Canis lupus familiaris: one gene and its partner. The protein of the gene in region 1 interacts with the protein of each later gene in a pairwise test. Links are inferred from orthologs where the notes say so. Each region holds a gene or a part of one and is shown on either strand. Other genes may lie near its edges.

Region 1 (4,249 bases):
ATATGTTTTACAGCACTAAGTTTGGGGTTTCAATTTATTACATTTTTAATGTAAGAATAGGTAATTGAAATACATGCTTCGTGTTCTTTTTCTCTCCCTCCTTACTATCTCCTTTTGTGTTCTCATTAATCACAATTTCAGCGTATCTCTATTCCAAGAACACTCAAATCTGGCTGACTCCAGCTAACCTTTACATTCCTGACTCAGATCTTAAAATGCCAGTAGGATGCCTTCCAGTTTCCAGCTTCTCCTGGTCATAATTTCAACACATCCCAAACTGAAATCCAAGTCCCTCAAAGCTGTCCTCACTGCTCTCCCCATTCCATTGGCATCACCACCATCGCCCCAGGCTGAAAACCAGTCTCTACACATTGAGTCCAGCCGATCCTTCCTCGGAAGCACCTGGTGCTGCCATCCCCTCCCCTTTCATTCTCCTATTACCTTTACTTACATTCACGACTACAATAATGTCCTGACCTTCGCCGGGTTTTTACTGGTTTTTACTGGTTTGTCTGCCATTCGGTGAACATTTGAGCACGTCATTATTTTCCTGGCAAAACGCTAATCCCGGAATAAAAGACACAGCCTCTACCTCCTGGAAAGCCATGGTCTTCGCAAACTCAAGTCACCGCTGACTGCTCGGGCTTTTCCTAGCCACCTCGTCCTCCACGGCCAGGACTGCCCTTCTAGGGAGGCACATTTCCCAAGTCACGGTGCATACGCCATCCTACAACTCCTGTCCGGACGAAGGAAACTCCTTTGTGCTCCAGACTATTCGTGGGAGAGCGAGCCCGACCCTCAGCGCCCACCGGGTCCTTCTCCGGCTCTCGCCGCCCCCCCCTCCCCGTGCCCACCCCGGGGGCAGAGGCCCCGTCCCCACAGCCCCAGCGAGCCCGCCCCCACCTGGCGTCCAGGCAGCAGGGCCGTCCGAGTCACCGAGGGGCACCTGCGCCCCCGAGGCACCCCGAGGCACCCCGAGGCACCCCGCAGGCGCCGGATACCAGCACGTCCTCCTGCTCTTCAGCGGAGGAAACAGCTCAAGGATGTTGCTCAGCAAAGACGCGGCTCTCCCGACCGCACAGGCTCCCGAAGCCGCAGAGCCCGACCCGCCGGCAGCCGAGCGGGGCTTTTGTAGGAACGCGGTCCCGCCTCTCTAGGATCCCGCCGCCACCACCCCGCGCAGGCGCGGCGCGAAGCCCAGAGCGCGCCGCTCGTCTCCGTGGGCCCTTTCCATCAGCAACGGGATGGCAAAGCCGAGACCCTTTTGTGAGGCTCCTCTCGGGCTTCTGGTTAGACGATGAAGGAACAAGTACAATATGGCAAGCAGCACAAATTCCTAAAATTTAAATATGCAGGTGATACTATTCCCAATAAAAATTCAATTTGCATAGAGACCATAAATGAAGAATGCCCCATCCCTAAAGTTAACCATTGTTAATATCGTGTATGGGTTTCCCAGCACACTATCAGCCACGTAGTAGCACCCAATCAATCAACGTTTGTTTACTGAACGTTTATGGGATCACAACATGAATTTGCATCTCAGCCTTTTCTGTTACCTTGGAGATCTTTCCATACGAATTTATTTAACAGCCTAATAGTTTTCCATTGTATGGATGCACCACAGTTTACTCAACTATCCTACTGTTTTATAGTACACGTGTACACATATATATGTGTATATGCGCACATATATATATACACATACACTAAGTAATGCTGCAGAGAACATTTAATAGCTTTACATGCTCTTATAACTCCAGGTTAACTACTACACATTAGAATTGATCTGTCAAAGAGCATGTGCGTTTAAAATTTTATATACAGAACCCCTATTTTGAAGGGCAGTGCTGTTTAAAAGCAGAAGAATCTAAGAGAAAAATCCAGAAAAAAATGTAAGTATGGCTGTTCACAAAATCAGAATTATAAATGACCAATTAACATCCAAGAGACCAACGCTGACAGCAAAAATATTCTTTAAAAACCGCTTAAAATACTTATTTTGTATCCACCAGAATGTCATATATGCAAAAGGATAATTCCCAGGTTTGATGTAGGCATGGAAAAATGGGCATTTTCAGACTAACAGAAGGTACAGATTAGTATAACCATCCTGGAGGGCAATCTGGAAAATGAATCAAAAAGCCTTAGAAAAATGTGCCTACCTCTTTGTCTCATTAATTTTAGTCACAGGAATTGAATGAAGGAAAATTCTACAAAGTGAGCAAAGCTGTATGTCCAAGGATGTTCACTGAAATACTGTTTATGGTGACAAACTATAAACTAAAATGACTAATGGTAGGAACATGTACCACAGAATGTTGAGCGACCTTTCTTAGAAATTGTCTTCAATGAAGACTTTTAGTTATCTGGTGTCTTAATCAGGGCTTTCTTTTATTTGCTGGCAAGGAAACAAGGGCATTTCTTGGACTCCCAGGACCCACTGGGAATATAGTGGACCTCAGGAGAGGAGGGTCAGAGTCACTTCTCCAGAGTCTCTGAGTCTTCATTCTTTTACTTCTCACTGGGCTGGTTTGTTTCTATTTGGTTTTCATAAGACCACAAAAATGGTTCCAGCTCTAGATTAGTTTCTTGTTCAAATGCCTAACGAAGACCAAACAGAATCTGTGATCCAGTATGAAACTTCTGGGGGTATCCAAATGACCAAGCCTGGCTAAGAGGTCCCCCACCCTGGTCTAATGCTCAGTGGTCAGAGAAGGGTCACATGGCAAGCTGCCCACTCAGGATCGTGGCAGAAATGATAGAATGGACTTGGGCAGACAGGCAAATTGTCCTTTTCTTTTACAAATCAAAACTGTTAATGATATGAAGTCCAGTGAGAAAAGTGAAGTGTTTCTATGCATAAAAAAGATCAGTATCTCAGAATACATTAAGAGATTATGTCTAGACCACGCAGCAGGATGATTTAGTTTTTTTTTTTTACATGTTTTCAGGTCTTTACAAAGTATATGAATTTCTATAATAAATATAATGGGCAATTATATATTAAAATTAAGCAGAAATTATCAGTACTAATCACGATTCATTTGATTGTCATATATATACATGTATGCACGAATGTATACATGCATACATGCATGTATATACATGCATATACATACATACACTAAACAATGATTATTTTTGACAGGTGAAAATTAGGATGCTTTATTTTTTCCTTTCCTGTTTCTCCATACTACATGAATTAACGGCACATTTACTAATAACTGTATCAGTTTTTTAAACAGGAGTGAGCAGGAAATGTTCTTTTTTGAACATTACAGGATACTATCCCAACAGAAAAGCTGATCAGTAGAAGATACTTCACAATACAGCTCATCCTTTCTGGGCTGCTATCCTCTGAATAGACTTACAGCTTTCCTTTTAGGGCACCTAACAAGTGTTGCATTGCAAGCAAAACCTTCAAGATCTGTTATAACATTTGCCCTTTGTTCAATGTTTCTATAATCTTTGAGAAATAGAGAAGAAAAGCACATTATCAAAATATACCTATATCCAGGGGTGCCTGGTTGGCTGTCGGTTAAGAGCCTGGCTCCTAGTTTTGGCTCAGGTGATGATCTCAGGGTTCTGGAATCCAACCCTGAGTTGGGCTCTGCGCTGGGTGTGGGGCCTGCTTGAGATTCTCTTCCCCCTCTCCCTTTACCCCTCCCTGCCCCCATGCTCTCTCAAAAAAAATTTAAAATATTCCTGTATCCAACATATATGTTCAAGTGGTTATGAGTGCGCCCCCAGGGCACCGATGAGAAGACAATTTCCTTTGGGACTGTGAGAGGGAGTAGGCTAGTTAAGGTGTCCATGAATTTAGAACACTTATAATGTGTGTACTATAGAATCATCACAAAGAAAGCTAAATTTTCCAGTTATTGAAGGGTATGTCATTCTTCATGCTTTGACTCTTGTCATTGTCATTTATTTTTCATGAGAAAAATAAAGACATTCTGTTCTTTCCTTCTTAAATGGAACAGAATCAAACAGATTTAAACTATGACTCAGAGCTGAATGATAGGTACTGACTTCAGCACAGCCATCAAAACACTTGGGGGAAAATCTTCAATACCAACTTAATTTTATCCATCAAGGCAGAATAAAAGAAACACAGCTTTATGACCCCGTAAGGAATGGAATATGACTGTTCCATGAAATTCTTTAGTGTCTCAAAAAGTTGCTCTGCCTCTACAGATTTGGTCCTCCTCCAGGAAACAGTATTTTTTTTTTTTATTTTTTTTAA
Region 2 (3,138 bases), on another chromosome or scaffold:
AGGCAAAAGAATTAAGGAAAAGTAGACTTTAAAATTTAATAGCAGAGATACCCTATTACTTGCCAGATTCCTTCTCTTTCTAAACAAGAGTAGCTCTAGCAATGTAAAAATCCGTTAGTTCACACTGGCTCTACTTAAATCCTAGGGGCCTAAAATATGACAAGAAAGGGGAGTTTGGGGTTTAAACCAGAGCTCAGAAAGAGCTATCTGTAAAGGCCTGCACTAAAAGACTTCCTAAAATAGCCCTATGGCATGGGTCTTTTGGGAAGCCTGTGCCCAAAGGCAGGCCCGTGTAACAAGTTGGTGGCCCAACCTGTATAGAGGTAGCCAGTTAAGCACTTTAAGTGGAGTCCGCTTTCTCCCTGCCACAACCATATCCACTATCTTTTACGGAGGGGGGACAAATTCACATTCTAGTGAAAGGTAGGGGCAAAAAAAAAAGGTAGGAACCCAGCCTGCTAAAGTCCTTTACGTAGACTCCCAACTAAACAAAGGAATCCCAAGTGGGTCCTGTGGGAGGGAGCAGGAGAAAATTTTCCAGACGTGGAGGCCCAGGCCTAGCCAACACGTAAATGATCCCACAAAAGCCAACAAATGCCAAGTGAACAGGAAACAAAGGCTTTATTCTCATGGGTCCCAACGCGGGTTTTGCCACCAGCCAAAAAGGAGATTGGAAGGGAAAAGGCTCGGGAAAATACACCTAGTAAGGGACGAACGAAAAGGGGCACATCAGACGCTGGAGCTGCCAAAAACTCATTTTTCATCAACAACGGAGAGCCTGGCTCAGGCCCCTGGACCCGATCGTGGCCCCAGCTCAGAGAACGCCGGGGCCCCGCCGCCCGCAGCTGCGCAGCTCAGCCCGTGATGCGCACATCGGTGCGGCGGCGAAGCCGCCGGGCCCGCGCCGCCTCAGGCAGGATGGCCAGCAGCTGCTCCTGCACCAGCATCTCCACGATCTGCTCCTTCGTGCGGATGTCGGGTCGCAGCCACTGGCGGGAGAGCTCCCGCAGCTGCCGGAACGCCTCCCGCGGACCTGCGGCGTCCTGGTAGCGGAACTGCCGGAAACGCTGGCGGAATGTCTCCGGGCCGGGTCGGGAGCCGCCAGAGTGTGGGGGGGAGCGCGGAGCGGCTTCGGCAAGCGGCGGGGAGCTCAGGGCTGGGGGCCCCACGGGCAGCTCCAAGGGCGCGGAGGCCGCCGCAGGGGGCGTACGAATTGCTTCGGTGGCTGCGGCGTTGGCACTGGAGGATTCGGGGGCAGGTGGTGCGGCCTTAACGGTCGACGAGGAGCCCGCAGAATTACGCTCCGAGCCTGAACCCAGGCCGGCTCCTTCCTCCTTCTCTGGCGGTAGCGCGAGGCCCCCAGCAGCCGCCAAGCTCGGCTCCGTCGCCGCCATGACTCCAAGCTCTGGACGTCACTCTTTGTCCCGCAGCTGTGGGCTCAGCACTGCGTCTGCGCACGGGCCGGCTGAGGAGGGAGGCGTTCAGCGCGTTAGGGCAGAGCCCGCGGGGCCTCCCGGGCGGCGGACGGGGGCGGGCCGACAGCAGACCAAGCTTACCTGCACCGGGACAGGGCCTGAGCGCGCCGGAAGCGGAAGTCTCCATTAGCTTCTATGATGAGCTCGGCGCCAGAGCGCCCGGAAGCCGAATGCCCGCTCCCGGTAGCGGCGCCCCCTCGCGTTAGCGAGCCGCGTCAGGGGGCGGCTGTGGCCGGGGCGCGGGGGCGGGGGCGGGGGCGGGGGCGGGGGCGGGCCTATCTAAGCGAGCCCTGGGCTCCTCTTCAGTATGCTCCCTTCCAGGACCGGTTCGAGGAATCGGAGTCCGAGTCCGAGTCCGAGGAGGGTGAGGAAGAAGAAGAGGAGGAAGAGGAGCAGGAAGAAGAGCTGGAGGAGAAGGAGCGCCGAGGGGTCTTCGCCCACTTTGCCCGCTCCGGGCCGCAGGTGATCTGCACGTCCCGCTGCGTGCGCGCCTCCTTCCTGGCCCCTGACTGGGACGGTGGCGAGCCACGGCTTCGCTGGGGCGGGACGGCGGGACGAGGTCGGGCTCCGGGGAAGTCCTCTTTCTGTCAAAGGAGATAAGCAGGGGCACTCGCCTCGTTTCGAGAATGACAAAATCTAACGTGTGAAGGTCCTCAACAGACACAGTAAGACTCGCCTCTCCCATGGCACAAAGTATATGCTCAACAGCTGTGTGCCATTGTTATTTGGGCCGCGTCCTTTGAAACCAAGGGACAGGTGCCTCTTTGGGTTCTGCTTTTAACATTAAAATTAGACTCTAAATGCCCTGTGCCGTATGGCGGCCGCTAGCTCCGTGGGCTTACTGAGTCCTTTGAAATGTGGCTAGTCGGAATGGGGATGTGCTGTAATGTAAAATATACCCAAGCTTTGGTACAGCCGGTAATAGATCTCAATGTCTTTTATATTGATTACATGTTAGATTGGTAATATTTTACATGTGTCGGGTCAAATAAAGTCTATTATTAAAATTAACCTGTGTCATTTTTTTTTAAAGATTTATTTATTTATGATAGAGAGAGAGAGAGAAAGAGAGAGAGGGGCAGAGACACAGGAGGAGGGAGAAGCAGGCTCCATGCCAGGAGCCTGACGTGGGACTCGATCCTGAGACTCCAGGATCGGGCCCTGGGCCAAAGGCAGGCGCTAAACCGCTGAGCCATCCAGGGATCCCTAACCTGTGTCATTTTACTTTTCAAGTGTGGCTACTAGAAAAATTTATATGTATGGTTTGCATTATGTTCCTGTTAAGCAACACGGTGCTACCGCTTTGGAGTCAGGCTGCCTTGGTGGACTCCCCATTTCAGGGTTTATTTGCCTTAGGCCAGACTTGTTGAGAGGATTAAAGCAGTAAAGCCCTTTGAAGGAAAGGGTTTTTTTTAAAAATATGTTTGCTGTTGTCTTCATTCGATAAACTGCTATCTCTGAGTGGCAGGTTTTTTTTTTAGAGCTGTAAAATGTGGAGATAATACAATTTACCTCAGAAGTTAGGAGAGTTCAGCGAGATGATACAGATGAAACCTCGTACCTCTTGACAGCTGACTCACAATTATGCTTTATACTGCCATTGGTAGATAGGGAAGCTAAGACCCAAAGAGAGAGAGAGAGACAGGGGACCCATATGAAAGGT

The links. The genes of interacting proteins can lie anywhere in the genome.
Region 2: the proteins of PGBD1 (region 1) and SCAND1 interact in binary tests that used the Homo sapiens proteins (3 or more experiments, as listed by UniProt). The two-hybrid records come from large-scale screens. The link is inferred for Canis lupus familiaris from reciprocal best matches to the Homo sapiens genes PGBD1 and SCAND1.

Annotation. Positions count from the first base shown.
Region 1 is NC_049256.1:26,902,399-26,906,647, reverse strand, and holds the start of PGBD1 (piggyBac transposable element-derived protein 1), read right to left. Parts: upstream 2,907-4,249; 5' UTR 904-2,906; intron 1-903.
Region 2 is NC_049245.1:25,383,643-25,386,780, forward strand, and holds SCAND1 (SCAN domain-containing protein 1), read right to left. Parts: upstream 1,714-3,138; 5' UTR 1,659-1,713; coding exon of another isoform or gene 1,611-1,658; 5' UTR 1,557-1,610; exon of another isoform or gene 1,466-1,556; 5' UTR 1,395-1,465; coding exon 855-1,394; 3' UTR 603-854; downstream 1-602. Other genes in the region: CNBD2 (cyclic nucleotide-binding domain-containing protein 2), read left to right, coding at 1,611-1,658, 1,782-1,937. UniProt on the Homo sapiens protein: May regulate transcriptional activity.